Linked DNA regions of Arabidopsis thaliana. The protein of the gene in region 3 purifies or fractionates together with the protein of the main gene of each other region. This does not show direct contact. Each region holds a gene or a part of one and is shown on either strand. Other genes may lie near its edges.

The links.
Region 1: the proteins of AT4G26630 (region 3) and NIT1 purify together in Arabidopsis thaliana (affinity purification with western blotting, with the first as the bait; one study listed by BioGRID). This does not show direct contact.
Region 2: the proteins of AT4G26630 (region 3) and HDA3 purify together in Arabidopsis thaliana (affinity purification with western blotting, with the first as the bait; one study listed by BioGRID). This does not show direct contact.
Region 4: the proteins of AT4G26630 (region 3) and AT1G20940 purify together in Arabidopsis thaliana (affinity purification with western blotting, with the first as the bait; one study listed by BioGRID). This does not show direct contact.

What each region holds. Positions count from the first base shown.
Region 1 is NC_003074.8:15,983,249-15,990,747, reverse strand, and holds NIT1 (nitrilase 1), read right to left. Parts: upstream 4,125-7,499; 5' UTR 3,848-4,124; coding exon 3,718-3,847; intron 3,675-3,717; exon of another isoform or gene 3,626-3,674; coding exon 3,446-3,625; exon of another isoform or gene 3,006-3,445; intron 2,817-3,005; coding exon 2,523-2,816; intron 2,430-2,522; coding exon 2,148-2,429; intron 2,062-2,147; coding exon 1,907-2,061; 3' UTR 1,243-1,906; downstream 1-1,242. Other genes in the region: NIT2 (nitrilase 2), read right to left, coding at 5,576-5,730, 5,823-6,104, 6,197-6,490, 7,038-7,217, 7,289-7,397. UniProt on the Arabidopsis thaliana protein: Can convert indole-3-acetonitrile to the plant hormone indole-3-acetic acid.
Region 2 is NC_003074.8:16,295,155-16,301,808, forward strand, and holds HDA3 (histone deacetylase 3), read left to right. Parts: upstream 1-2,533; 5' UTR 2,534-2,890; coding exon 2,891-2,903; intron 2,904-3,137; coding exon 3,138-3,208; intron 3,209-3,292; coding exon 3,293-3,518; intron 3,519-3,624; coding exon 3,625-3,660; intron 3,661-3,730; coding exon 3,731-3,825; intron 3,826-3,951; coding exon 3,952-4,105; intron 4,106-4,193; coding exon 4,194-4,272; intron 4,273-4,367; coding exon 4,368-4,431; 3' UTR 4,432-4,722; downstream 4,723-6,654. Other genes in the region: AT3G44740 (Class II aaRS and biotin synthetases superfamily protein), read right to left, coding at 1,256-1,300, 1,376-1,600, 1,704-1,898, 2,020-2,163, 2,408-2,533; AT3G44753 (uncharacterized protein), read right to left, coding at 4,872-4,965, 6,011-6,107, 6,377-6,476. UniProt on the Arabidopsis thaliana protein: Probably mediates the deacetylation of lysine residues on the N-terminal part of the core histones (H2A, H2B, H3 and H4).
Region 3 is NC_003075.7:13,429,002-13,438,655, forward strand, and holds AT4G26630 (DEK domain-containing chromatin associated protein), read right to left. Parts: upstream 6,770-9,654; 5' UTR 6,651-6,769; exon of another isoform or gene 6,595-6,650; intron 5,925-6,594; 5' UTR 5,877-5,924; coding exon 4,842-5,876; intron 4,767-4,841; coding exon 4,733-4,766; intron 4,302-4,732; coding exon 4,219-4,301; intron 4,049-4,218; coding exon 3,989-4,048; intron 3,910-3,988; coding exon 3,799-3,909; intron 3,600-3,798; coding exon 3,507-3,599; intron 3,425-3,506; coding exon 3,341-3,424; intron 3,167-3,340; coding exon 2,668-3,166; intron 2,472-2,667; coding exon 2,380-2,471; intron 2,160-2,379; coding exon 2,129-2,159; intron 2,042-2,128; coding exon 1,872-2,041; 3' UTR 1,404-1,871; downstream 1-1,403. Other genes in the region: AT4G26620 (Sucrase/ferredoxin-like family protein), read right to left, coding at 1-2, 499-876; WRKY20 (WRKY family transcription factor family protein), read right to left, coding at 8,297-8,768, 9,033-9,188, 9,273-9,429, 9,520-9,654. UniProt on the Arabidopsis thaliana protein: Chromatin-associated protein which contributes to the modulation of chromatin structure (such as super-helical structure of DNA) and function.
Region 4 is NC_003070.9:7,293,921-7,299,751, reverse strand, and holds AT1G20940 (F-box family protein), read left to right. Parts: upstream 1-3,233; coding exon 3,234-4,478; downstream 4,479-5,831. Other genes in the region: AT1G20950 (Phosphofructokinase family protein), read left to right, coding at 15-68, 257-337, 433-526, 620-693, 782-892, 984-1,028, 1,121-1,177, 1,299-1,403 and 4 more; CDKB2;2 (cyclin-dependent kinase B2;2), read left to right, coding at 5,088-5,320, 5,702-5,831. UniProt on the Arabidopsis thaliana protein: Probable component of an E3 ubiquitin ligase complex.

The DNA.
Region 1 (7,499 bases), on a different chromosome or scaffold from region 3:
TGACTAAGTTAGATCCTCAATTGGGGTTAGGATTATCAAGGAGTTGTTTTGCTTGTTAGATTAAAGATGATGATTTAGAGATTTATTCAATTAGTTTTCCATCTAGGATGATCTTCGTGCTAATATTTGATTGATCACCTAAATTTTAATTAAAATGCGTATAGTAACTTAGAGGAGCAAAAAATATTTGGCTAATCAATGTTAATGTTTAGCTGTTTTTTTTTTTCTGTGAACTGGTCAACTTCGACTTAACTTTTCTTAAATTTCTCTCATCCAAAGGATGGCACATGATTCATATATATTTGAACTATTTAGGTTATACTTTTTGAAAGAAGATTGATCTAATTTCGTTATATGACTTCTAGAACGATTTCAACTCTTAATCCCATTATTGGTGCTTTGTGTGTTTGTACATTCATGAATTCATGCAAATATGCATAATGCTTTGATATTCTTTTCTGACAACGAAGGCAAAAAAAAAACTTATTTCGTCTTACTTAAGTTCTACGTACCCCAATATTTTCTGGTGTGTGACCCTTTTGGCTATGACTTACTAACATGCATTTGACTGTCCAATATGCGCGGTTAAGTAAGTTCGTATTTGGGTTAAAACTCGAGTTGTGAGTTATCATAATTATATAATGATCGCTTTGATTAGAATTTTCAAAGGTTTCCAATTTATAGAGACTTCCTTTTCCTTCGCAATGCAACGTCTACGTCTTGCATACAGCTATTCACAACTTTTTGCTTGTAGCTTCGATTGTGCAATCTTTGACTCGTTAAAAAGCTACGTGACATAGATTCCTTTTCAATCAAGTATTTCAAAATCCATGTTCATCAATTACAATCCAAATTTGTGATTTATAATTAAGACCATTTCAAACACCATCGCAACTAGACTTCAAATTATGTATTTATGTTATAACCAAATTGTCTTCGTTAAAGGGAGTATTCTTCACGGAAAGTATTCTTCACATGCACATGTCTAAACCACATATTTAAAATGAATCTGACGTACGTACGCAAGACATGGAACAACACCTAGTTAATTATGTAAAGAGCGGGGTGGTTGATATATTTGACCCCAAACAATACTACAACCATAGAAGTATAGCAAAATTGACGACAAAATAAATAAACGACGTTCTAATTTTTGAGACTTAATAACTCACTAATTCTTAGTTATCCTATATGTGACTTGAATTTCCTGGTTTTGGTTAGCCATCATTATCCTATATGATTCGGCTTTTGACAATTGAGTAATTTGGTAGACTCTTTTCAAACTCTCATTAGATTCGAATGGATGATTTTCAAGTCTTGACTATATATGTTTCCTTGTGATTCTATGCAATAGGAAAATTATTAAAACATGAAAATATATGTTTTTGACGTACAAAGAAAATTAGAAAGATCATAACAGAGATCTGAGAGAAAAAACCAAGTGTCGTTAGCTCAATTGGTAAAGATCCTAGGCGGAGCTAGAGTTCATCGGTTCGAGTAACGCTTGGAACGAAACTAATATTATACGATGTGGTTTCGGGCCTGGAAGGATTACAAGTTTCGATCCAGAACTTCCTGATATTAAAAAAAAAAAAAAACAGAGATCTCAAAAGCCTAATTCATAATAGTTGGCTAAATAGTTATACGGCTGAACAACAATTGAGATTCAACGCCCAACGCCCAAATTAGATAAACATAATGGCACAGTTTTAAAATACAAGAGGAGAGAACCAATTCGTTTTATTCAACAACATAAGTCTTACCATTATTACTTGACTCCATAGATCTTACCATTGAAGAGAAAGATAAATAAACTTGAACATAAAATGAAAACGCAACAGAACATTTTGGACTTGACTCCATACGATTGACATAACTCCAGCAGATACGAACTTCAAGTCTCTTACTATTTGTTTGAGTCATCCTCAGCTTTCTCCACCTTCGTCACGAATGTAACCGATTTCCTCGGGTGCTCATTTACGGTCAAGTGTAAAACATCTGGTCTCGAGTAATGTCCAACCGAATCGAAGTATAACTTGGCTCTTGCTATATCACCAAGATCTTGATGGAAAAAAAAAAAAAAACGTTATCCTTTTCTATAACCTAAGATGACTATCAAATGAGAGTGTAAATATACATATACATACCAATATCAGCTGTGACGAGACCCTCTGATTCAAAGTTTGGTCCGGCGAGAACTTGTCCCAAAGGTGAAATAATGACACTTCCACCTTGGGAGACAATAGAATCATGTTCTTTGTCGTCGTACCAATCGGTAAACAAGTAGTCAGGATGATCAGGGAAATGTTTACGCTGGCAGAATTGGCAAGCCGACAAGACGAAACATCCACCTTCGATCGCAATGTGAAGCATCGACGATTGCCATTCTTTCGAACCATCAGCAGTAGGTGCACAATAAAGCTCAATGCCTAAACACCAAAAACGAAAAATAAAAAAAAAACTTTGTAAGATTTTTTTGTAAAAGCCTAGATGTTTCAAACGGCATTGCATTAAAAGCTGACCTTTGGCGTACAATGCAGTTCTGTAGAGGGGCATCCTATTCTCCCAGCAAATAGCAGCACCGAGTTTTCCAATGGGAGTGTCGTAAACGGGGATGGTTGATCCGTCCCCTTGGCCCCAAATGCAACGTTCCAAACTTGTGGGCATGAGTTTACGGTGCTTGCCCAAGAACTGACCCTGTGGACTAAAGAAAAGAACTGTGCAATAGAGGGTATACCCTTCCTTCTCTATGGCTCCCATTACCAAGTACACATGGTTTTTCCTAGCCACGTCAGCCAATCTTGCTACTTCAGGGCCTGAAGATTCATCACAAAAACCAAAAAGAGTCATTTTGTGTTCCAAGATATTGAGAGTGCTCAACTAAATTTAAACTAGAGCAAGAACACTCATTAATTAGATGCTTGTTCCAATTAAATTTCATCTAAACGTGACAAAAAAAAAGAGAACTCGAAATCAAACATATTTTCCCTCAAAGTTAAGTTTACTTTGTTCCAAATAAAATTCAATTGTCCAAAACTTATACACATCACCAAGACTCCAACCATAGCCAACTAAAAATCATAATCCAGCAACCAAATAAAGGAGAAATAAAAAAAATCTTTAATTAAAGAGATTTAATATTATATTTTTTGGTGTAAAAATTATAAAATTTAATGTAACATATAGTAATTTATACATTTAAAAGATAAAGATCAGGATAAATATTGTCATCTAGATCCGCATATCCAAATTTTTGGTAGGCTTGGATCCGAGATCGGGTGGTGTATACTTTGAATACACTCGGCCTAGGATAAGCATGCAATAATTGAGGATATGGTTCAAAGTCATTGATTGGTTAAAAATGTATCAAAAATCATTTTATGGATAAAATACAAGATAAGATGATAATAAAAAGAATACAAATAATGGAAGTAAATAGTAATACCAGGAACATGAATAGCAGAAGCATGGTACTTCCGAAACTCATCACGCCCTTCTTCGTTATGAACGCCAACCGCTAAACCGAACCTAAAACCTCGAGGATAGCCACCGATAAACCCCTCCGGGAACAACACTAGCTCTGCTCCCTTGCTTGCCGCCTCCACAATATACTTCTCCGCTTTGTCTACATATTGAAATGGAACGTTTTCGATAAATTTTACATATCAAAAAATAAAAATAAAAATAGGTCAGAGGATGAATTAATGGATTGGTTACCTATAGTGGCAGGAGTATCGTTATAGACGGTGGAGGATTGGACGATTGTAACTCGCACGGTGGTGGATGGGGCAACGCCGTTAAAAGGAGTTGCGTTTTGGACAGTTGACATATCTTTAGTACTAGACATATCAACTCGAGTCTTTGTTTTTTACTTTGGTTCATGACACTCAGAGACTTGAGAGAAGCAATATATAGACTTTTTTTTTGTTTTTTTTTTGTGGTCACGTTTATTTTCCTATTGGAGACGGTAACGAAGATCGAACCTGTGGTGGAAATGAAACAAGGTGGGACTAGCCCACGTGGTTTCTTTTCTCTGCATTGATTTGTTTTTGTTTTTTTTGTAAAGTTCACATCAAACCTACTAATAATTGAGAAGAAAAATAAAATCTATTGATTGATTAAACCAGCCGATGCTTTATGTCTGAATATAAAAAAGAAGTGAAAACCCCGTTTAAGAATTACAACGGTGGTTTACAAAGTATTTGGACACAATAAATCCAAACGAAATAAAACAAAATGGAGAACTACCAAATAAAAAACAAATTAAAAACTTAAAAGAATTTATTCTTTTTTTTTTTTCCGTAGAATTTATTCTTTTATGGATTCCTTAAATCCATATTTGATGCATTTTGATTCCTCATAATAGGTAATAATATATACTATGTATATAGATATGTTTGTAATTTCGTATTAACCTACCTTTTTTGGTCGTACGATTCTACCTAATAATATTGAACGGAATTGATGTTTTGGACCACTTAGAAAGTATTTTTTTTTTGGTTTGTCTTAGCTGTATTTCATTAAATATAAATTTAAATAAGAAATGTCATAAATAAAATTTGACGTATAGATTTTTTAAATCCATTTTATGTTATTTAATATTTGAAATGTGAGTTTGGCTCCTATTTAATCTTAGGATGGGTTAATACTAAGTTTTCCTTAATGAATTATCTCAGAGAAACTGGATTAAATAAACTAAAAAATAGATCAATGTGTTTTGGTCCGGTCAAATATCTTTGGATTTACTATTATTGGCGAAAAGAAAGTCTCATATAGTAAATCATATTCCTACAAGAGAAATCAAAATTTTTGAATTAACATGGATTGTATAGTTTCTTATATAACCAATTAGTTCGCATCAAGAAAACCAAACCCCAATTAATAATCAAACGGGCTTGGTAGGAATATTTCATTGCAGCTTTCAGATAAAAGAAAAAAACACACACTCAAGTCTTTTATTTCATCTTTCTTACTTGCAGGAACTCAAATTCCACTTTGCCACTTTTCTTTACAAATAAACACAAATTGTCAATGAAACGAAATAGTCTTTTTATGCAAACACTGTTTGTCTTTTTTCGATCACGTTTCTGATTGTGACAGCCATCCATATATATAGGGAATGTAAAACAACAACATGTGAAGTCACATATACGTAATGGTTTAGCATAGCTTCTATTTTCGTTGTCAATATTAGTCATTCCAAAACATTTTTAAGAAAAATAAATTAATATATGTATATTCTTGGAACTAATGTATGTGGAAATACAGTAACTTAATTATTAAACATTCTAAATGCAAATATGCAAAGAAAAAAAAGAAAAGAACACAACTGAAATCAAAGCCAGATTCATAATAATTGGCTACATGGTTGTAGAATGTAGGGTAACACAACATCCAGAATTGAACACTCAAATTGGATGATAGATGGATAATCTTTAGATACAAGAGAATTGGTTCTCTTCCATTATTAACGAAAATTAAGAAAAAAAGTTTAGCATAAAAGTTTGAAACTCAACATAACATTTTGAACTTGACTCCTTCATAGGAGTGACATGAACTGACGAATCACAACCGATTACTTGTTTGAGTCATCTTCCGCTTTCTCCACCTTCGAAATGAATGTGACCGGTTTCTTCGGGTGCTCATTTACGGTCAAGTGTAAAACATCTGGTCTCGAGTAATGTCCAACCGAATCGAAGTACAACTTAGCTCTTGCTACATCACCAAGATCTTGATGACAAAAATAAAATATGATTAGCTAAAAAAATTATCCTTTTCTATAGCCTAAGATAAAAACTAAAGAAGATTATATATATTTTTACCAAGATCAGCTGTGATGAGACCCTCTGATTCAAAGTTTGGTCCCGCAAGAACCTGTCCCAAAGGTGAAATAATAACACTTCCACCTTGGGAAACAATAGAGTCAGGCTCTTTGTCGTCGTACCAATCGGTAAACAAGTAGTCAGGATGATCAGGGAAATCTTTACGAAGGCAGAACTGGCAAGCCGACAATACGAAACATCCACCTTCGATCGCAATGTGAAGCATCGACGATTGCCATTCTTTCGAACCATCAGCAGTAGGTGCACAATAAAGCTCAATGCCTGAACGCACCAAAAAAAAAAAAAAGTGTTAGAATCTTTTATTAAAGGCTACATTTGTCAAACACTCAAACTAAATTGCATCAAGAGCTGACCTTTGGCGTACAAAGCAGTTCTGTAGAGGGGCATCCTATTCTCCCAGCAAATAGCAGCACCGAGTTTTCCAATCGGAGTGTCGTAAACGGGGATGGTTGATCCGTCTCCTTGACCCCAAATGCAACGTTCCAAACTTGTGGGCATGAGTTTACGGTGCTTACCCAAGAACTGACCTTGTGGACTGAAGAAAAGTGCTGTGCAATAGAGTGTATACCCATCCTTCTCTATCGCTCCCATTACCAAGTACACATTGTTCTTCCCGGCCAACTCCGCCAACTTTTCTACTTCAGGGCCTACAGGTTCATCACACAAAAAAAGTACCATATAAACAAAATAATACTTTATAAGTTACGTTTTAGTCAGTATTCATACTTTTATAACATTTTAATGCTTAAAAAGTCATATTCTTTTCAGAATATTTAACCAAAAATTATAATATTCAAAGCTAACATCATATTTCAAAGACCATGATTTCTAACTTCAAATATAATTGTTTTCTCTTAAATAAGATTATATGTAATTATGTAAATACTAAATATGTAGAGATAGTTTTAAACGGGTATCTTTCGGTTTGGTAATAACGCATATACATAGTGAATTGTTGCAAAGATCAGATATAGGGCATATGACTACGGATCAGTGTCCAAACCTAGTTTACACAAAACTGATTTGGATACTCAATTTTTCAGACCCGATATGATTGGATCAGAGATTGGGATCCGAGATCAGGTGGTGTACATGGATATTCAGATAATCAAGCACAATTGTTTTGACGTTTATCAAAGATTAAAGTTGTCCAAAAAAACAATAAGAGAAAAAAGTCAACAGAATAGCATTTACCAGGAACTTTAATAGCAGAAGCATGGTACTTGCGGAACTCATCACGCCCTTCTTCGTTATGAACTCCCACCCCTAAACCAAACCTAAAACCTCGAGGATAACCACCGATAAACGCCTCCGGGAACACAACCAGCTCCGATCCCTTGCTTGCAGCCTCCACAATAAACTTGTTCGCCTTTTCTGAAAACAAAATTCATGTAGAACGTTACGTAAACTTGACCTACCTAAAATGAAAATGATTAATAGATTACCTAGAGTGGCGGGAGTATCGTTGTAGACGGTGGAGGCTTGGACAATGGTAGCTCGAACAATGGTGGATGAGGCAACGCCATTAAACGGAGTGTTTTCTGAAGTTGACATTTTTTCTGTTTTAACTTGAGCTTTAGTCTTACTTCGATATTACCGAGAGACTTGACTCGCAATATATATAACATTATGACCAATGGTTACTAAGTAAGAAGA
Region 2 (6,654 bases), on a different chromosome or scaffold from region 3:
ATTTTGATCAAGAATGATGGATCATAATTTGATGTATATATACGTATGATGATTATAAAATCACATATTTTGGGAGACTCACGTACGCCTTGAGGAGACCAAGACCAACCCTAACCCCAAAGCTTAATCGCTTTAGCAACGACAAGGACAAGACACCACTTACTTCTATGGAATCTTTACCACAATGTGTGTAATAATCTAACAGCTGAGTAGAATTTGCTCACACTGATACTACATACAAAATCTAATTGTATCAGTCATTCACATGTGAAATAATGTATGATTTAAACGAAAATTATGTGTATAATAATTAACGTAACTGAAGATAAAAAATATAAAATAAATATTTGCTTATTTTATGTGTGTTAATTGGAGATAAGAAAAAATTGGTATTTTATTTGAAATCGTGGTAGAAAATTTCTCAAAAGTCGTACTAATGCCTTGAGTTTTGATCAGTTTTGAGTTTTTTTAGTTTTTTTTTTTCTTTTTCTAATTGTGTGCCATTTGTAGTGTTTAGGTGTCTTTTATGTGTACATAGTTGTCTATCGATTCATTCAAGTTCCAAACTGCTTTTAGAGAAAAAAAAAAGGGGGGCATTAATTGGGGATGTTATCGACATAAGTATGTGTATATGGGATGTGATGAGAGATTTTTCATTGCTGGATGGAGCTCAAATTTGGCATATACTAGAAAACTGAGAGAGTTTTATTTGGAGGTGGTTTGAGATCATTCGAATGGTTGAATACTTTTTTAGAAAACAGATTACTTTTGCGAAATTTGTTTGAAAACAAATTTGGCATATACTAGAAAACAGATTTTGAACCTTTTCTCTAGTTTAATCTAATCATGAATTACTTTACAGTTTCTTTTGTGTTTAGAGATTGACACCATATTCTTCTTGATGCTCACGTTTCTCTTTAGGGTACATACGTAAAACTCTACTTCCCCTTTGGTTTCCAAGATTGCTTTCATCTCCATAGCTTATTGCTCATTCATCGCCTAACAAAACATTACACGAAGCATGTTGTTTAATGTAAACCAACATCATGAGACAAAGAAATATGTCAGTAAAACAATAGATTTCAGTCACTCTATATCTAAAGATTTAACGACATGCTTTTGATTTCCCTTGAATGCAAGAACCAGTTCTTTCTTCACAGGAGTAATCACAAGTTTCTGAAATAACAGAGAACCCATATTAAGAACAAGCTATAGAGACAGAGATGAACATGTTGACTTGATTACCTCTACTTCTTTAGGTTCTGGAAATTTCTCTCAGCCACAGAGCAACTTTTCCTACCTACGGGTTTTGATCATCAATTCTCTAGCTGTCAAACGAAATGAAGAAAATACAAGATAAAAGTAAGTTTCTTACCGAGTGGGCACGTAAGTCGAATGCAGACCTATCTGCTATACCAACACATTCAATCCACCCATATGAACTCTCAAATTCAGCATCCAAACAATCTGCAGCATAGCGGGCCATTTCATTTGCAAAATGCTGGCGGAAACGCAACTGTTCCTTGTCTGTGCCAAGACGGACAAGGAAAAGATACACTCTCGCAATGAAGTAGCCTACAGTTTCTTTGTTCACAGTTCCCTATTCAAATACAGTTGCAGGCATCAATAAGCAATTAAGAAACAAAAGGTCTGAGGGAGTGCATACTAGAAGTAAGTAGACGCAGATGATTACAGATACTGACCTTGGCAACAACTTCGCCAAGGCAAAGTTTTTTCGCAGATTGGCCAGACATTTGTTCCTCTCTTGGAAACATAAGGAATTCAAAATTTGCTACATCAGAGAATTTCGGATGTGACTTATTCCCAGGATCAACAAAATGCTCAATTTCTGCCAGCGTGAATTCACAAACTCTAAGAAGCCCTTGACGATGAGATATCTGCAAGTAATATGCGTCACTTATTAAAAGCCAGACATAAAAGAAAGAAAAAAGAGTCCCTGATTGAGATAAACACATCCAATCTATCAAGCAAAGGAATAGAAAATTAAACGATAATCACCTCATTTCTAAAGGTTGACCAATTTGAGCAGCAGCAAAGGGAAATTTCCTCCCATTGTAGTAATACAAGTCCTTCACAAAAATGCCTTGTTAGAGTGTTCTTCGTGTCTGGAGCAATAATCCTTAAGCAAGTGGTCCGTCCGCACTGTAACAAGTTCCAGTTTTCTCATTCTTAACCATTAGATCAGTGAACTGGTCTACATGTCCAGATGCCTTGAGAACAACCTCTGGTGTCACACATGGACAATCCACTTCATACATATTCTCCTTAAGAATGAAATGCTATCTGAGAACAAACCTAAAACAATCTCTACTCTTCTCTATGAATCATGTCAAATTTGTCTCAATTTCTACTCAAAAGAGAAAGGTGAATGATGTTCCGTACTTACTTGACGCCAGAAGCTAAGAACATTGGATTTAACAGCACAATCCTTAATCAAATAGTCCGGCGACGTCACGGTTGATTTTGAAAGAAGGGATATAGAACAAACGCCGCTCGAGAGTATTAACCACATTTTGTCGAAATCAGCAGCTCCATGGCTGCATCAATCGTGAAGCCTTGAGAGCTTGAAGACATTCCCCTGAGCTTCGACGGAGGAAGATTTCGCCTATACTGATTTCCGCCGTTTGAATTTGATCGGAGCATTTTGTTTTTTCACAAACTTTCATATCTTTAACGACGTCGTTAGTACTGAAGAAAAACCCTAAAGAGTAAAGACCCTAACGGCGTCGTATTAAAACCCTAAAACGGCTTCGTATTAAAACCCTCTGTCTTATAAATAATCTCTTAAAACCCTTTCTTCTTCTCTTACATTTTCAGCTGCTCATAAACCCTAAAAATCCTCTCTTTTTCTCAACCTTGATTCTTAGCCATGGAGTTCTGGGGTAAGAATCTTCTCTGTTTTGTCTGAAGCTTTTTGGGTTTTTCTTAAAATCTGTTTTCGAACTCTCTTGTGGCTGCTTCCTTGTGTGGTGTAGTTGTGTAGCTTCATCTAGGGTTTTAAGTTGCAATATTCTCACATAGAAATGGTTATATTATATAGGAATTAGTGTGGTAGTGTATAACTTGAAGCTGTATCTTGATACTCATGTTGGTTTTTGTTAAAACGATGTAATCAGGAATTGAAGTTAAATCAGGAAAGCCAGTTACAGTGACTCCTGAAGAAGGCATTCTTATCCACGTTTCTCAGGTTTAGTATCAAATCTTATTGATTTTGATTCTGAGAGTTGTTAGAGGTCTAGTGTAAACAATCTTGGATTGTTTATCTGTGTAGGCATCGCTTGGAGAATGTAAAAACAAGAAGGGAGAGTTTGTGCCTTTACATGTAAAGGTTGGGAACCAGAACTTGGTTCTGGGAACTCTATCGACTGAGAACATCCCTCAGCTTTTCTGTGATTTGGTATTCGACAAGGAGTTTGAGCTTTCTCACACTTGGGGAAAAGGAAGTGTTTACTTTGTTGGATACAAAACTCCCAACATTGAGCCACAAGGCTATTCTGGTGAGTTTGCAAGATAAAATCTGTTTCAATTCAATTATTCTGTTTGTAACTGTAATATTGGCTTGGTTGCTGATGATTCGTTTATGTGTTGTATTGATATATTCAGAGGAAGAAGAGGAAGAAGAGGAAGAAGTTCCTGCTGGTACTTAAACTAGACAGAGACTACTTGATTTGTGATCCTGATAATTGGTAATAACTAGTTCCATTTGCAGGGAATGCTGCCAAGGCTGTAGCTAAACCAAAGGCTAAGCCTGCAGAAGTGAAGCCAGCTGTTGATGATGAAGAGGATGAGTCTGATTCTGACGGAGTGAGTTGTTATAGCTTTCTGTGATTTGTCTCTTTTTGTTTACCATTTCAGAATAATGACTGAGGAGATGAGACATCTTTTTTGAACAAATGTTGGTGACGCATTCTTGTGTTATGATTCTTGCAGATGGATGAAGATGATTCTGATGGTGAGGATTCTGAGGAAGAAGAGCCTACACCTAAGAAGCCTGCATCAAGCAAGAAGAGAGCTAATGAAACTACCCCTAAAGCACCTGTGTCAGCAAAGAAGGCGAAAGTAGCAGTTACTCCTCAGAAAACAGGTATAGATACAAACCATTCTCTTACATTATTCACTAAATTGGGAAACACGAGTATTCATTTGAACCTGCATCGTCTTCTTTGGCACAGATGAGAAGAAGAAAGGGGGAAAGGCTGCAAACCAGAGCCCAAAGTCGGCCAGTCAAGTCTCATGTGGTTCATGCAAGAAGTGAGACTCTCTCTCTTTCTCTAACTCTTGTCTTCACTGCTCAAAATTTCTGTTTGTTATAACATTTCGCTTGTTGGCTTATATCTCTTTGGCAGGACTTTCAACTCAGGGAATGCACTTGAGTCTCACAACAAGGCCAAGCACGCTGCTGCCAAGTGAAGTGGTTTCTTATTAGAGCTTGTGATTTCTATGGAATTTTGCCTGTAGTCTTTATGAAACCTTCGGATTTTCTTATATTTTCTTTTGATAACAAGAGTCTTAATGAAAGAGAGCCAGTTGGAGTCTTATTACCACTATATTTCAACATTCTATCTTGGCTCAAATGTGTTAATTTTAGATTCACGTTTTCACCATTTTCTGTTTCCACAAATCTGTTGGCCAATAGCAGAGTTTATTAGAAGAATAAATGAAGGTTTCACAACATTAAAAATGATCAATCCTTTAAGCCAGCAACTAATTTGAAGAACAAATATCCTCTGTTTTCATTATTACGGTTCTAGTTTCTTCACTGCTCTTAATGCTAAGTGTATGATTGTATGATTGCATTACTAGACTCAAGCTTATAGCGTGGTTCTTTATCGGCTTTCAACTTTTAACAACTATCTTTGCCAATCATTTTCACAAGGCTCATGTTTTGGAGGAAACATTGACAGGAGTCTTTCACCAGTTTTTTTAACCCCAAAGGTTAAAAACCTGCCAACAAGTATTTCATAATAAACAATTTCTCTGGAAACAATTACTAACAAAGAAATTGAAATCTTTCAAGAAACCAGAGAACTAGTATCAGCCACGGTTACAAAATTAGCTTCACACACGAAGAAACACAACACAAAACCAGAAACTACTGATTTCTATTAGGAAATTATCAGAGCAATCAAACTTGAAAGACTGGAATTGGGCAAAATAAAGCATGATCATTTAAAAATGAAATAGTACCTGTTAAAATGTAAATCCATGAACAATTGTAATTTATAGTAATCTGTAGAAATATTGTTGATCAACGAAAATTGTAATTGAGCACTAAAGATTTTTTCTCACTTCTCAGACACTCATAACAAAAGAAATATCTCATATCAAACCACTACTAAGCGATCATTACAAATCAAGTAAGATAATCTTCCAAGGACAATCAATAACCATCTCTTTTCGAGTTCATCATAAATTTCAAAGTTAGTAATATCATATTTTTTTAATTAATACATAAACCACACAAACAAACAAGGTATTCAAGTTAGCACTAAACTACTCAACACAGAGATTAAGGTAAGAAAAAACCCATGTAACAAAGCAAGCAAATACTACACAACAAACAACCGAAGAAGTCATAACTTCAAAGCATAAACCACCATAAACCACACAAGCACATATTCAAGTCAGCATATTAGACCATACAATACACAGATTTAAGTAAGTACAGATCATGCGCAACTAACAAAATTCAAGCCATAGCTTCAAAGCATAAACCATGGTCCACATAATAGTCCATAAAACAACCAATAAAATCATATTCTCACATCTAAATGTTCGTAACAATACTAAACAAGTAAAAGGTATCTTTTTCACTTTATACCCTGCACTAAGGAGAGTGATTGTCAAATAGATTCCACTGAATCAGTTGCTCAGGTATTCAAAAGTAGAAGCTTGTTAACATAAGATTTCTAACATTGGTAACTATATCAACCAATCTAATACAAACATAGGAGAAGCACATGACAAAAACCACAGTTGAGAGAATTACATGAAGAGTATGTAGACTGTTGTGAAAGTATTATCGAGAAACTCTTTGTGATCGATGAGAGAAGAATCCAGTCTCTGTCTTCTTATACGAACTAGATCTGCAACGATAAGAAGAAAAAAAACGTTGTTAGATGAATATACAAGTCTTTGATCTCTTAACTGTACTCAAAATTAATTTCACGATAACTGAAATTGGAACCCTAATTCAAAGAATCAGAAACACAAATCTTCAATTAATTTGAAGTGAAATCGAGTAAATCGAAATAAAAAACGATCGAAAGATTTTAAAAGAAAACCGATTTTTGAGAATTTGGAAGCCAGAGTTAATTCGATGAAGAGCATTATATAAATCTTTGTTTAATTTTACCCAAATCGAAGAGAGAACGAGAGAAAGAACTTAAAAGCGATTTTGAAATTTTGAAACTCTCGATTACAGAAATTACTGAATGAAGATAATGATTAATCATCGATTTCAGAAAGCAAAATTATATATACGAAAACAGGATTAACCCAGATGAAACTGAAGAATTCGAACGAAAATTTACAGAGCAAATTTCAAAATCGCCGATGAAAGAGTCGCAGAGAAAGAGAATAATAGAAACCCGGTTTCCGTTTTTAGTAATGTTTTGTGCGTGTGAGTCACGC
Region 3 (9,654 bases):
GTCTACGAAACAATGGCCAAAAAAAAAAAAAAAAACATGAGGCACAAAGCAAAAGACAATCATGAAGGCATCATCATGAGACTATCCGAAAAGAAGCAATCCATTACAGACACCATTTCCACTTAAGTTCACCACTGTCATAGCTCAAAAAACGGAGGTGCAAGTCCTAAGATCCCATCTTGAAGCCAATAGACAAGTTATTATGTTGTTAGCCATAGAATCGTGCCAAAAATAGAAACTTTGCCTTATTTGACCCATACAGAAATCCCAAGAGTCACCAGGCAAGAGTTTTTATGACTCATTACGACCTTAAACAGATACTTTAAGTAAGCCAAAACAAGTGAACGCAAATGCTTTTTGCTTATTTGGGAGACTTATTGGAAACAATCAGACCTAGATTTATGAGAATCAAGCAATATACTTGGAAACAGGAGATGCAAGTTAACAGCGAACAAGCTGAATCAATGGAATCAGAAAATAGTAGAGTAAAAAGCTGACCTCCTTCTTCATGCTACCCTTTCTGGCCGATACAGCAGCAGAGAGTAGCCTAGGCAATCGATCGAACTCAGCAGCCTCGATCCTTGCGGGCCAAACAGATGGCTTTTTGTAGCACAAGAAGACATGCCTCTCGTAAAACTGTACGGTTCCAGCTAGTTGTTCCGATCGGAAATCAGGACGAGCGAATCCAAAATCAGCGTCGTTGATGCTTTCTCCACCGCCTCCACCGAGTAAGCTCTCGCTTTGAAAACTACCGGAGCGAGAAGTGGGTTCGCCGAGAAAGTTGTCGAGATAGTCAGATACAGTGACTGGAGACGACGCCGTAGATGGATTGCTGGTGAAGGATAAAGGGTCGTCTCTATCTCTTCCACTTCCCATTTAAAAATTCGACCACAAGTTTGAAACTTTACAGATCGAAACTGAAACTACGGAGACGAAGAAGAAGTGAAAGTTTCTCAGTGATTCTTCTACTGAGAGAGGTCTGTCAAGTATATTCCGTTACTCTTATTCCGGTTTACTCCTTAATCGATATTCTATTTTGCAATCGGACCGGTACTTTTGCCTTTGTGTGTGTGACAGGTCTTTTCGAATCTAGTACATCAAATAAGATAATAGTAGCTGCAGCCAGAATGATAAAAGCCTGGACAAGTGTTGCTTATGCTTATAGTTAACCATGTTTAGCCATCTGCTTTGAATTCTATGTATTTGCAGTGTCTCCATTGCAATCTATTTAGGTACTCTGAATGTAACAACAGCAATTACATTCTTTTGGAACTTGTGTTTGGGTTGTCCGAAAAGGGGATGTAGAAGAAGAGCACAGATTCTTTTCTGTATATTTTGGTCCTGTAAGAATACAGACTCTCTTCTTCATCAATGTTAATCTTTGTTGTATATGTTTATGAGGTACCAATTCCTACATTTCTTAGACTGGATTTGCGTTGGTAGATTTGCAGATATGTTAGAGATAGATCAAGGATACAAGATGAGCATAAATTCCTTCTGCAATATTCAAAGTCTTAAAGGGAATCAAGAGAAACATATTATTCATTTATTACCATTGGCCTCCTTCAAACCAAAAGACATAAACAAAAGAAACCTTGACAATGTCTCGAAAAGGGAGCCTCACAAATCAAAGACAATCCAAGGAGGCTTTTATGTTAAATGCTATAGACATACAAGCAACCTATCCTTTGGCTATGCAGCTTCTTCCTCTTGTCTCTACCAAAAGTAAAGCTGCTTTACGCAGTTCAGACTCCAACAACAAAATATTACATCCACAGATTTAACTTACACATTTGCCAGATGACTACTAGGCATTAGGCAACAGTATCTGACAGAGAGACTCAATATGTGCGATGTGATCAGAAAGGAGTTTAGGCTTTCACCTCCTCACCACCACCAGACCCTCCTGCTTCCTCCTTCTCTGAATCCTCTTCTTTCTTTTCCTCCTCCTCCTCCTCATCTGCTAATTTGGTGAGCTCCTCTTGGATTATCATCTTTATAGATGACTTTCTTGGAGTGAGATCTTCTGTGAACTCCTTAGCTGAAAGATGGATGAAACAATGTGTTTATTTTATATATAACCAGGAATCACTGGAAAAACAAATGACTGAAACCAATCTGTTCATACCAAGTTCTTTAAGGATGTCCGTGAACGTAGCCTGCAGAAGAACAACAATGCTCTTATTAGGTTATCTAGGTATAGAAGGAAATTCACAGTTTGAATAGATATTGCACAACAAACTTCAAATCAGCTTTCAGAAAACGAAGGTTATTTCATGTAACCAATAAGTTTGTTCGGCAGAATCCAATTTTGTTTTATTCCACACACATCCCAAGTAGTTAAGTGTATCGCATATAAAAGGTTGAGAAATTACTCACCGTACTAAAGTCCACTCTTTTCAAGATCTCAACGATTGCATTTTTCAGCACTTTATCACTCGGCTTGTCTTTCCCTTTTCCAGCCCTTTTTACTTTTAGCATATAGACACAAACAGAGATAAACATGGTGTCAGAAAACATTAGTGGTTGTATATTGGTTCGCTTCTGAAAATGAAGATATAAGGAATAAGATTCTCCAATGCATCTGACATACACTACACCCAACATGTTTTTATTCTACCTAAGCGACCATCTTACTGGAAGAAAAAAACAGGATAATGACCAAACCTGGCTTCTCTTTTGATGCAGACTTTGAAGGAGCCGGGGAGGCCTTGATAGGGTTTTCAGACTTCTTCCTCTTAGAGGACGCCTTTGGACTTGTATCACTGTCATCATCAGTCTTCTTTCGTTTGGCTGATGACCGCTTCTGTGTAATCTTCTCTGGTGGACTGGATTTTGCAGCGACCACTGCTTTCTTGTTTCTGGCTCTCCCTGCTGATTCTTTCTTCCCAGCTGACAATCTAGAACCACGTTTCTTCTTTGTAGTTTCTTCTTCAGAATGCTCCTCAGATTCATCTTTCTCCTCGCTTTCAGAAGGCTGAGGCGCCTCATCCTCAGATTTATCAGGAATGCCATTTTCATTCTCCTCCTCTTTTTTCTCTTCTTTCTCTTCTGCCTTCTCCTCCTCTTGTTTTTCTTCTTCTTCTTTCTCTTCTTCAGATTCATCATCAGAATGAGCTAAACTCTTTTTGACAACTTTTGTTGCTTCTTCAGACTTTTTTTGGCTCTGCAAAGGAAGTGCAGAATAATATAATCAGATTAAAATACTTAGCCAGAAACATTGACGGGTTGACCAGTGATGGACAGTTGCAAATAAGCTACATTGAGATTACACGTTCTTTTCAGAGTTAATAACAAGATTAATGAACAAGCAAGCCCTCAGCTCTAAGCTATGCATTACCTTTGCTGATCGTTTGGAGGATGAACTCCCAGCTGTAGGTGAAGTTTTCTTGGGAGTTCTCTTGCGTTTTGCTCCCTTACTTGACTGTTTCAACAGAATGTTTTTAAAGAATGTAAGATGCACAATAGTTATTAAAGCAAACAAAACTTTCCCAACACCACATTACCTTCTCTTTCTCAGAAACTGTAGTGTCACCGGTCACATCACCTGTCACATGAGGTTTCTCCAAAAACTCAAACAGTTTTGTAATAATATCTTCCTGTGTTGAAAAAGCATGCAACAAGAAGTTGCCAGATTCGATTAAATGGGGAAATGAATAAGCATAAACTTGGACAACCAGAAATGGCTAATCAAGCTGCTCAACAAAGACAGAAATTTAAACCTTCACATGTATCTATTCACAGAGGAAAAAAATGAATCTCAAGAACAAAAACTTAGAAATTGATAACCATAATGACCTTCTTTGTTGTAGCCTTGGTAATGTGTATGTCCAACACATCACAAAACTCCCACAGTTTCTCTTTGGTGCATTTCTCAAGCTTTTCTTTTACTTTTTCTTTTGCTTTCTTCTGCAAATACCAAAGAGCCACAATTATATACAAAGCAAAGGCATATGTAAAAGCATTCATTATGTGTAATGTTGCACACCTCATCTCCATGCCAAACGAAACCAGAGAAGCCCAATATGTTTGTCTTGATCTGAGCAGCCTGTTAAAGCAAGAAGAATAAGATACATACAAACATGATTAGCAGACTTGCTACAGCACATGAGTCCATACCACTGGTCTCAAACTACAAGAGTATGCCCATGATTGACAATTTTAGAAGTATGACTATTGGAGCAGCATAATGTCAAAAGGATCCAAAGAGACGCTCACCTTCCCTCTCCTCCCACCAAATAGAATTGGGTGAAGCAGCTTCAAAGTTTCATCAGACCTCTTCCTCATTACCTTGTTAGCAACTACAGAGAAGAAACATTCAAGTTATCTACTTCATTTCAACTTCAAACAAAAATAAAAAGATGAAAAAATGGAACAATAAAGGTATTTTTTAGGTAGGTCGCGATTATTAGATTTTGGTTTACAAGAAATCTTGCTTCTGAGCCGGCTGGAATTGATCAATGCCAAGAAAAAAAATTCAAATGAAGATTCACATAACCAGAACCGAAAAGTGTATAGATCAAAGAATCCACCCATAGTATACATGCAATTTAACAACTAGTAGTATCCAGCACATAGAATTCTCGTAACAAAAGAACGTTTAGGCTACGCACACTTGAAGATAATAAGGGGCTCAAACTGTAAACTTGGAAAGCTAACACAAAAGACTTTTCAGCACAAGGATAATTCGAGATAGATGCTTGAAGGACAGATAGATAGAATATGAACATACCATTGGGAATATCTTTGAGATATGCACCTCGCCCCTGTAATATCCAAAGGATTATTATAAACATATCTAGCAATAAAGTTCTACTCAGCTCAGGAAAGTTTTGGCAAACCTTTTCAACACGGAATTCTTTCGAGGAGTCTTTATCAATCAATGCAACAAGCCTCTCAACAGATTTCCGCTCACGCACAGGGCGATCAGAGAAAGGAGTCCTAGGCTCTGCATCCTTTTTTACTTCCTCGGTTTTATTCTTCTCGCGAACCTTTCCTCCAGAACTCGTCCCTTTCCCACGCTTTTTAGAACCCTTGCTCTCTTCTTTTTCATCTTCTTTATCATCATTTGTCTCCTCTTTCTCATCTTCCTTTGCATCTTTGCTCTCCACTTTTTCATTGTCGTTCTCATCCTCACTCCCTTCTTTTTCATCTTCTACCTTTGACTCATCCACCTCAGCCTTTGCCGCCTCAACTTCCTTTGTTTTATTTTCTTCCTTATCTTCCTTTTCTTTTCCTTCAACATTCTCCACTTGTTTATTTTCATCCCCATTCTCCACTTTTTCATCCATATCTGTCCCTTTGTCTTCATCTACCAGTGTCCCTTCCTCTTTGATGTCTCCTGTATTGCCATCTTTTGTTCCATTTGCTTTGTCAGCTTCATGTTGTATGTCCTCCTTCCCAGCTTTTTTGTGGTCTGCCTCAGTAATATCTGTCTCTTTGGTCTCTTTTTCATCATCTTTGGCATAGTTATTGTCTTTAGATTCCACGTTTTCCTTCATTACAGTATCTTCCACTGAAACACCATCATCAGTTTGCTCTTTCTTTCCATCGGCATCTTCATCCATGTTGGTAGCCTCTGCTTGTCCCTCATCTTTGGTGACCTCAACCTTCTCTTCCATTTTTTGAGTCTCAGCATTGTCTTCATTTTTCTTAACCTCTGACTCTTTATCTTCCGTCTCAGCTTTTTCATCATCTTTCTTAATCTGAGCATCTATCTCCATATTGTCTGGCTCAGCCATATCCTCATCTTTCGCCAGTTCTTGTGTTTCCTTACCCCCAGCATTCTCCTTTCCAGCCATAGCCTCTGATGGCTTTTCAAGAGAAGTAGTCTTGTTTGCGGTTGGCTCAATGGTTGCCTTTGTATCTTCCCCCATATTACAAACCAGTTCAGTAGATCCTTCCACCAAAAACACTTCTTGTGGCTGTGAATGAGAAATCAGTTCAGAGGATTAATATTGCTACGATAGCAGAAATTAATGCTCTCTATAAAGAAATTGAACAACTTGACATAAAGAACATGTAAAACGCATTGAATTCACACTTAGCATATATGCGAAAAAAAACTAATTCCAGGAAAACAACATCTAAAACTTGGCTAGTCAACAATAAGACAAATCTAATTTAGATCTCATTATTGATCCATAATTATCACTTAATCCCACTTTAGATCTGCAGAAGAAGAACTAAATGGAAATTTCGCGTAAGTCACTAAGAAACCAAAATCTCGAAGGTTCATCATTTATCCTCGCTTCTTATACATTCAGTAGAACAAAGATCCAGATGGACAAATGAAACCAAAAAACACCCTTTCATTCAGACAAATCTCCAGAGCTTACACCACACAGATTCAGACAAAACACAAACCCATCTTGAATCTCTCGAAATCAAGTCAATCAACGTCAAATTCATGCATTTTGTCAACAACTTAATAGCATCAGATATCAAAAAGACAATAAATAATCAAAACATCGAAATTCACAAATAAAAGAAGCGCATGAGAAACCCTAACTTCTCATCGCAACTTTAAACAAACACAAAGAAGAACCAAAAGAACATGCGAATTCAAACAAAGCTCAAAACATAAAAGCTCACAAAGATTTAAGCAGAGTATCCACAGGGTTCTAAAGCAGAAGACTTCGGAATCTCACCTCAGAGTATCACAAGACTCGGCACTGAGTTTTTTTTCTCCTCTAACTACTTTTTTTCTTACAAAACAGAACAAATAGCTTTTGTTTTTCTTTTTGATAGCGTTTTTTAGGAGAGAGAAATTCAAGGATTCGGACGCAAAGCCAGATTTTAAATACAATTTAATGCCACGTCAGGCTTAGGATGAATCATTACCGTCCGATTTCATTGCTGTAATAGAGTTCATCAACGGTTCAGATTTTATGTTTGATGCATCTCGTGGATCGATGACGCTATAAACTACCCTAACGTCCGGTTCCGAACCAGGTACCGAGCCTAGACTTTATATTTCAAGGATTTTATATTAGGTTTTTGGACAAAAAAAGTTAACATATTCAATGTTTGTGACCTATAGAAAAATATATTTTTTTAACTACAAATTTAATTTGGTAATTTTTCAATGATATGATAGTTTTGTAAATAAATTATCTATAAAATTACTATATAACAGATAAAAATAAAATTGATACGTAATAATTGCTATATCGGTTTAATATTAATGAAATTGTTTTACTTCTTTATGATAAGGAAGCTAAGTTTATGTGATTGAACAAATGATTAAAACAAACTCTTTCTTAAAATGTACTTCTTTTTAAAGAAATTTAACGAATTCGTTGAATGTTCAATTATAATTGATTTAAACAACGCTATATTAGGTAAAATGATCTAATTGAATAGAATTGTATAAGTGACTTTAACAAATTTTGTTATTTTATATTTAAATATTTTTTATGATGGATTCGATCCGCTACCATAAATAGCGTTGTCAATTTTTGCAAAAAAATTAACATGATAATCCGATTTTTACCTTTCCGCAAAAGATGAAAATGATTCACTGGTCCGGTGAAAAAAACAAGACTATTTTGACGACGATGATTATAAATGACTTATAATGTCATTAGTTTGATAGCGACAAAATTTTTATTTGCTTAACGGGTACTATGATCTAAAAGAATCTAATATGTTTGTCTTTAACAACAGTAAATGCTTCGGAAAAAAAAAAGTTCTAAATATGAAATTAGAGATTGTAACTTCCACCAAATAATCTAGATACATGTAAGAGAGAATAAGGTTACTGTTTTAATTGCCAATCTACTTCTTGCACAAATCTCTTAATTTTGTATAGAGACTGTATAGTATAACCTTCCAAATAATTGAACAAAGTTTAATATTGTCCCATGGTAAATCACCTAGTCGAAGTATTTATATCTCATTATTATGAGTTTTTGACAAATCTAGAAGTCTAGAACTAAAAGTTGAGAAACTATTATTGAAAAACGGGCAACAGTTGTAATTGTCTGCTTAAGGACCACGTAGCTTAAGTACCGTCGTGGTGTTTCTTTCATGGAGCATATCTAATTACGGTGAAGAAGAAATAGTTTGTAGTAATATTGCTGTTTCTTGTTTAAATAAAAGCATTAACATCTTGTTGTGTATTTTTACATAACATTTTTGGAACTCAATACAGGTGACACAAACAAATATATATGGTGGAGATAGTTTGAATCAAGATCAGCTCTCTGTGAAGAAATAGGAATTATATAGAACAAGGCCTCGTCCCATTCCTAACCTAAGAAGATCCCGTACATAATGTTGCTTACTTTTTGTTTTACGGACCCGATTGTACTCTCCCCATGTTGGGCGGATATGGGTAAGATGAATTGTTCAAGGACGAGATGTCACCATTTTGAGTCTCGTTCTTTGTTTCTCTCTGGCCGTACTGATTCATACCGCTATTTAAGCTAGCATAGTAGGATGACATGGGACTAGCATGAACAAACCTGAAATTGACTCCATTTGGGTGAGTTTGGTTGACAAGTTGTTGATTCTGGTGCTGATGTTCGTTGGAAGCGTGGTTAGGTCCATCAGATGAGATTCCAACACCAAGATTGAGGCTGATGGTGTCTGTTTCATCTGGTCTGAACCGAGGCTGGATTTCGTGATTGCTGCTAGACTTTGAAGTGGGAACATCATGATCGTGTTTGCCTTCGTATGTTGTTATTACAGCTTTTGGATCATGTGATGCTCTCTCCACGTGTTTTCTCACTGGGCATCCATGAGCTGTGCATTTGTAGTAGCTCCTACAAAAGGCCGAGGAACATCATGAAACATAATATCTCCATTGCGCACATGTTGAGTCTGTTAAGATCACTATCTTCCATATTCCAAACCAAATTCCTAAAAGAAGCAACACTTTATGCACATGTCAAATAACTAGGTCCTGAAGACAAGGACTAAACTGTTCTAGCTACCATTTTGAACTCGCAAGTTATGTTTATGTATGTTCATTCGAGAAAAAAGCAAGGAATTTTTTGGGGTGTTAAAAGCTTTAATGCTGTACAAACCTGGGATTTGGGTTCCCCCTTACGACTTTCTGCCCATATTTGCGCCATCTATAACCATCATCCAGAATGTCAACCTCACTCAGAGTTTGAACAACAACCCGAGGCTCCCGGATGGGTTTCACTAGTGGAGTTATTTCCATCGCACCCTCCATCCTCCTACATAAAGTTAAAATAAAGTTTTAATCATGTCAAATCACAGATTCAAATCAAGCACCTGAATCCTTTGTTAAACTCTAATACCTCCGTTTTGAGAATGGATCATCATCGTCCGGCTCATCTTTATTCCTATTTGACGCTGCCGCTTCTCCACCATCGTCAGATGCTGAGATAGGAGGTACTTCAGGGTTACCAGTTTGTTCATTGGGGTTAGACAAGTTGTAGACGCCAGATCCCTTCTCTGTATGCAGACATAAGAGTAGAAGGAAAAAGTTATAGATATTGCCAAGGGAGTAAGTGCATATTTGTCTCAAGTTTTAGTTATGATTACCATCTCGGCCAGTTGAAGAAGGATACTTGTCTAGCCTTTCTTCTTGTGCAGCCATACCACCAGAGTTTCGGCGACCAGGTTGAGGTTTAGGATGGTCATGTGTACCCTTGTATATAATATCGGTGATCTGCCCAT
Region 4 (5,831 bases), on a different chromosome or scaffold from region 3:
TTTGCGGCATACAGGTGAACTCACAACTCATTAGCAATGCCTGCACTGATGCCCTTTCTGCAGAGAAGGTAAAAGCTATTTCTTCCTGAACTTTCATGTTGCAAGAGATTGCTAGGGCATTCTTAACTGCAGTTTATTAACTTCATATTCTGATAAGACGAAATATTTCGATGAAGGATGTGAAAGCAGAAAGCTACTACAAAGTTATATTCTTTATGATTCTGATATCAAGTTCTACTTTCTTTTTTATTTGCAGTATTATTATTTCATCCGCCTCATGGGTCGTAAGCACTCTCATGTTGCCCTTGAGTGTACACTCCAGTCTCATCCAAACATGGTTCGTAACTGTTTCAGTTTCGAAACATAGACTATTGATTCTGTTGGCATGTTCATGCTCTAGACTCTCATTATCGTGTCATCCGATTGTCTCAGGTGATACTGGGCGAGGAGGTTGCAGCATCTAAGCTCACAATTTTTGACATTGCTAAACAGATCTGTGATGCTGTTCAAGCAAGAGCAGTAGAAGGTCTCGTAATGAAAACCATCTATGATTAGATTATGCAATCATGTATTTTACTGTGTTTACTAAATCTGGTACTATTTCATTTGTTTGAACCAGACAAGAATCATGGAGTCATCCTCATTCCTGAAGGGCTTATAGTCAGTATTCCTGAAGTCTACGCTCTGTTAAAGGTAATGATTTGATACTTGTTTCTTTCTTCAATACTGAGATGTACTTCTTAGTATAAATCACGTATAAGCTGACATTTGTTTGATGTAGGAAATTCACGGGCTGCTGAGGCAGGGTGTATCTGCTGATAAGATTTCTACTCAGCTCTCACCTTGGTCATCTGCTTTGTTTGAATTTCTTCCTCCATTCATTAAGAAACAGGTTCAAATTCTTTGAAATTAGAATTATCTTTGTTTTCGTTCAAAGCAAAGGTGTATTAATACATATAAGATGGTCGCCTTTCTTGCTACAGCTACTTCTCCATCCTGAGTCTGATGATTCTGCTCAGCTATCCCAGGTAATTATGAAGAACAAACAGAATATTTTGGACCTACTATGTTATAAAAAAAAAGTTGGAATCCTAAATGCTCTTTTTGCTTTCTACTCTAGATTGAGACAGAGAAACTTCTTGCGTATCTCGTGGAGACTGAAATGAACAAGCGCTTGGTATGCTCCAATTTTATCATTGGTTTCTATCTTTTCCCAATACTGTTATCTAAATAATGGAGTCATTATTTGGCATCAAAAAATACTATTGCTAATGTAATGAAATCTTTGAATTTGACAGAAAGAAGGCACATACAAGGGGAAGAAATTCAATGCCATATGTCACTTTTTTGGTTACCAAGCTCGTGGATCTCTTCCATCGAAATTCGATTGTGATTACGCCTACGTAAGTCACTAACAGTCTGTGCCACAGTACCAATGCAACTTCATAATTTAGATGAATATTAACACTATTGAATGGGAGAATCATGCAGGTTCTTGGACATATATGTTACCACATCCTTGCAGCTGGTCTGAATGGTTACATGGCAACAGTGACCAACCTAAAAAGTCCTGTGAACAAGTGGAAATGTGGTGCTACACCTATTACAGTTGAGTTTTGTCGTATTTTCTATCTAAAAGACGGCGGTTAATACAGTGTATTTCTATACTAATTCCCCATTCTTTTATCTCTGGTATTACCTTTTAGGCGATGATGACGGTGAAGCATTGGTCCCAGGATGCTAGTTATACTTTAACTTCAATTGGTAGACCTGCAATTCATCCAGCTATGGTGGATTTGAAAGGCAAAGCATACGAGTAAGTCAGCTATTACAGAAAACATGAACACACTCACGTTTGGCCTTATTTATCAATTGTTTGAATGTGAATGGTTTTCTTGCAGCCTCTTGAGACAGAATGCACAAAAATTCTTGATGGAAGATCTGTACAGAAACCCAGGACCGCTACAGTACGATGGTCCTGGTGCGGATGCTAAAGCAGTGAGTCTCTGTGTTGAAGATCAAGATTACATGGGACGTATCAAGAAGCTGCAGGAATATCTTGACCAAGTAAAAACTTTTTGTTTTTGTGTTTTTCTCTGCTAATTTCGTCAAGTATCGAATAATGTTCTTCGCCACTTTCATATTTATTAACATTTTTGGGGTTTGGTCAGGTGAGGACGATAGTGAAACCAGGATGTTCTCAAGACGTATTGAAGGCAGCACTGAGTGTGATGGCTTCGGTGACTGATGTTCTTACTACTATTTCTTCAAATGGTGGTCAATGATTTGCTTAAAACTTAAGGACAAAGCTCTTATGAATCACACACGTCGTGTTTGTTCTCTTCTTTTTGTTTTCTTTCTTTTGAGATGTAACTTTTGTTGTATTTTTTAAGTTATTGAGTTTGGAAAGACATAAAAATTGAAAAGGTTTGGATTATAGAGGCGCTATTTCACCATATCAATCCTTGTCCAACTTTTATTTTTCAGTTTCACTATTATTACAAACTTTTTTTAAATATGACAATTAGGCATGCATGCATGATGCATATAGCAATAGCATCGCTTGAACACGATTTTGTTTACAAAAAGAATCATTAAAATTTTAAGAGTTACATTTTTAATCTTAACTACACCAAAATACTAGAAATACAGTGTATCTTGCAAACTAACTTTAACAACCAATGACGTGTCATGTTCCCAAATCCCAGTTATAAATTTTGATAGATTTTTGACAGTATCTTAGGTACAGCTTTGGCATAAATACACTTTTATTTATTTTAAAAACTATCTTTAGCCTAAATACATTGTTAGTTATTTAAAAATTAGAAACTAAATGAAGAAATTATTTAGATATTAAGAAATATTTATCATTAAAAGATATTAGATTTTGTCATTTTTTTATATTAGTAAATTTTCTTTGTTCAACTAATGAAATTAATAACTAACAGATTATTTTGCAAAATGACAAACCTATAAAATATATATTAATATTTGATTTTCAAATTATCTTGCAAAATCATTCAAAAATTTAACTAAATTTATATTAATGTTGTATTTGAATTTTTCTTATAATGGTGAGATACTGAGATTATCCTTGATTAGAATTGATTGTTACTTTTTTTTGGTAATAATATGTTGTCTATTATTATATATATATATATATATATATATATATATATATATATGTTGAAAATAACACAAAAATATTCACATACGCCAAGCAAAATAGAATCATGAATAATTTGCCAAGAAATTCTCAATTTGATTCATCTTCCATCATCAATGATTTACCTTTAGACCTTCTCGACGAGATTCTCTTCAGATTAGAACCCAAATCTATGGCTATGATGCGATGCACTAACAATTCTATCAAATCATATTTAAGTGATCCAAGATTTGGACCGGAATATCCTTCATGGGTCAGACCTAGTTTGTTTAACCTTGGTAGCTATGGCGCTACTTATGTATGTTGCCATCCTTTGGTCTCTTCATGCGATTATATGTCACCGGGAAATGGAGTAGAACTGTTTGATGGTAGTGCGGATTGTTACATTTTCGGCTCATGCTCTGGTCTTCTCCTATTGTACATTGGTTGTCTCTTTGTTGCAAATCCCTTAACAAAAAGGTTTCGAATCCTGGATCATTCTGGATCAAAGCTTATACCAATGATAGTTAATGGTGGACTTAAAGGTCTTAGCGGAATTAGTTATCCTGGAGGTAATGTTGCTTGTACGGAACGAGCGATGTGCGTTGGATTTGCGGTAAATCGAAATCTAACAACCAAGAGATTCAAGATCGTGGGCATACTCGAGATGGAAAACGTATACGGATTCGAGATCAACGAAGGAGACTCTTGGAGATTATCGGAAACGAGTATCACCACTAGCTCAAAAAGTGATCTCACTACGCGGATGAAACCTGTTTACTTGGACAACACTCTTCACTGGCTGAGAAACGATGGCAGCATCATGTCTTTTAATCCCGAGACAGAGCAAGCATGCTTGATTCCTTCCATATTTCATCGGGAACCGGATACGAAGCTACTTTTCGCGGAAAGCGTTAAGATCAATCGCCTGACCCTAATTTCGGGGACGATAGAAACAATCTCCGTTTACACACTTGTCGAGAATCACAAATGGACACTCACAAGGCGGATCAAGAACATATCTATCGAGGAAGAAACGCTTGTATATTGGAACATAGCTATGTACGATGGCAAGTGTCTTGTGGTGAGGGTGAAAAAGATGGGTTTAGAACCTTTGGCAAGTGTTCTTCATGTGTACGACATGGAAGCTAACAGTTGGGGAGTTTTGGTGTCAACCCTTGCTTGGCCCAATTGCGTCCGAGATTTCTATAAATTGACGCCCTCCTTGTTCTTTGTAGAGGAGGATGAGCAACAGAAGGTGCTTGTTGCTTCTAATGACCGACGCATCTCCTATATAAATTCGATTATGGGACTCATTGATACCACCAAGTAAACATTTAGGGCCTATAGATTATACAAAAAATGTCCTGATTTATAAGAATGTTTGTTTCCCATTTGCTTTTATCATTGCACTATTATGGTTTATGTATTTCAAATCTAAAAATTAGTTGTATATTACTATTTCTTTTGGGACAAAAAATCATTTAAGACAATGTTGTTTAAGAACTTGTTCTTCTCTGGCTTGTCAATTTTTCGTCCTGCCCAATAAAGGCCCATCTTGTGTGTTTTGTCGAATCTAACAACAAACTCACACCTTTTGACCAAAAAACAAACTCTCCCCTTTTTTTTTTCCTTTCGTGTAGCTAAACCGTCTCCGGATGTTGACAAACATTGGTTATTCACTTTTTCCACGTCACACTTAAAAACAGAACATAAAAAAAAAACTAATGACGACGCTCCAGTTTTGAATTTTGAAAAAAGAAAAAAAGAACCGTTGAAAAAACATGAGTGCTCAAAGAGGGAATATACCTTTTTAATAATCTCCTTCCTATTTAAACCAATTCTCGAATCTAATTACATTTCCTCTCTCTTTCCCCAAATTGAAAACAAAATCTGAGATTCGCGAAGGAAGAAGAAGAGTTGTCTTGAGAGATTGATAGAGATGGACAACAATGGAGTTAAACCCGCTGTTTCCGCCATGGAAGCCTTTGAAAAGCTTGAGAAAGTAGGTGAAGGGACTTATGGGAAAGTTTACAGAGCAAGAGAGAAAGCTACTGGGATGATCGTTGCTTTGAAGAAGACGCGTCTCCATGAGGATGAAGAAGGTGTTCCTCCCACTACTCTTCGCGAGATCTCTATCTTGCGTATGCTCGCTCGTGATCCTCACATCGTTAGGTTCGATTTCCTTTTACATTTCTGATTCGGTTCAGTCACTTTCTGAAATTCTCCGATTTACTGGTTTTGATTGTGGATTTAGGACTCAATTTCGATTTCTAGGGTTTAGTCCCGATTAATTGATGTCTCAATTGATTTGATGACTCTGATTCTTCCTGCAAATCGCGCTTAGTGTCGCTCTTAGGTGTTACTGGTAGATCTTAGTTTCAGTTTGCTATTTGTTGTGTGGTCCGATCGAGATAAAATGGGTTCCTTATCTTATCCGAATACTAGAAAATGTCAAAGTAGAAGCTCTGTGTTGTGATCTCAGTTTCAACTATTTTTGTGGTGATTGCATTTCTACTGAGAGATTATTGTTATGATGATTATCTTCTTCTACAGGTTGATGGATGTTAAGCAAGGAATAAACAAAGAAGGAAAAACTGTACTTTACCTTGTTTTCGAGTATGTTGATACTGATCTCAAGAAATTCATCAGAAGCTTTCGTCAAGCTGGACAGAACATTCCACAA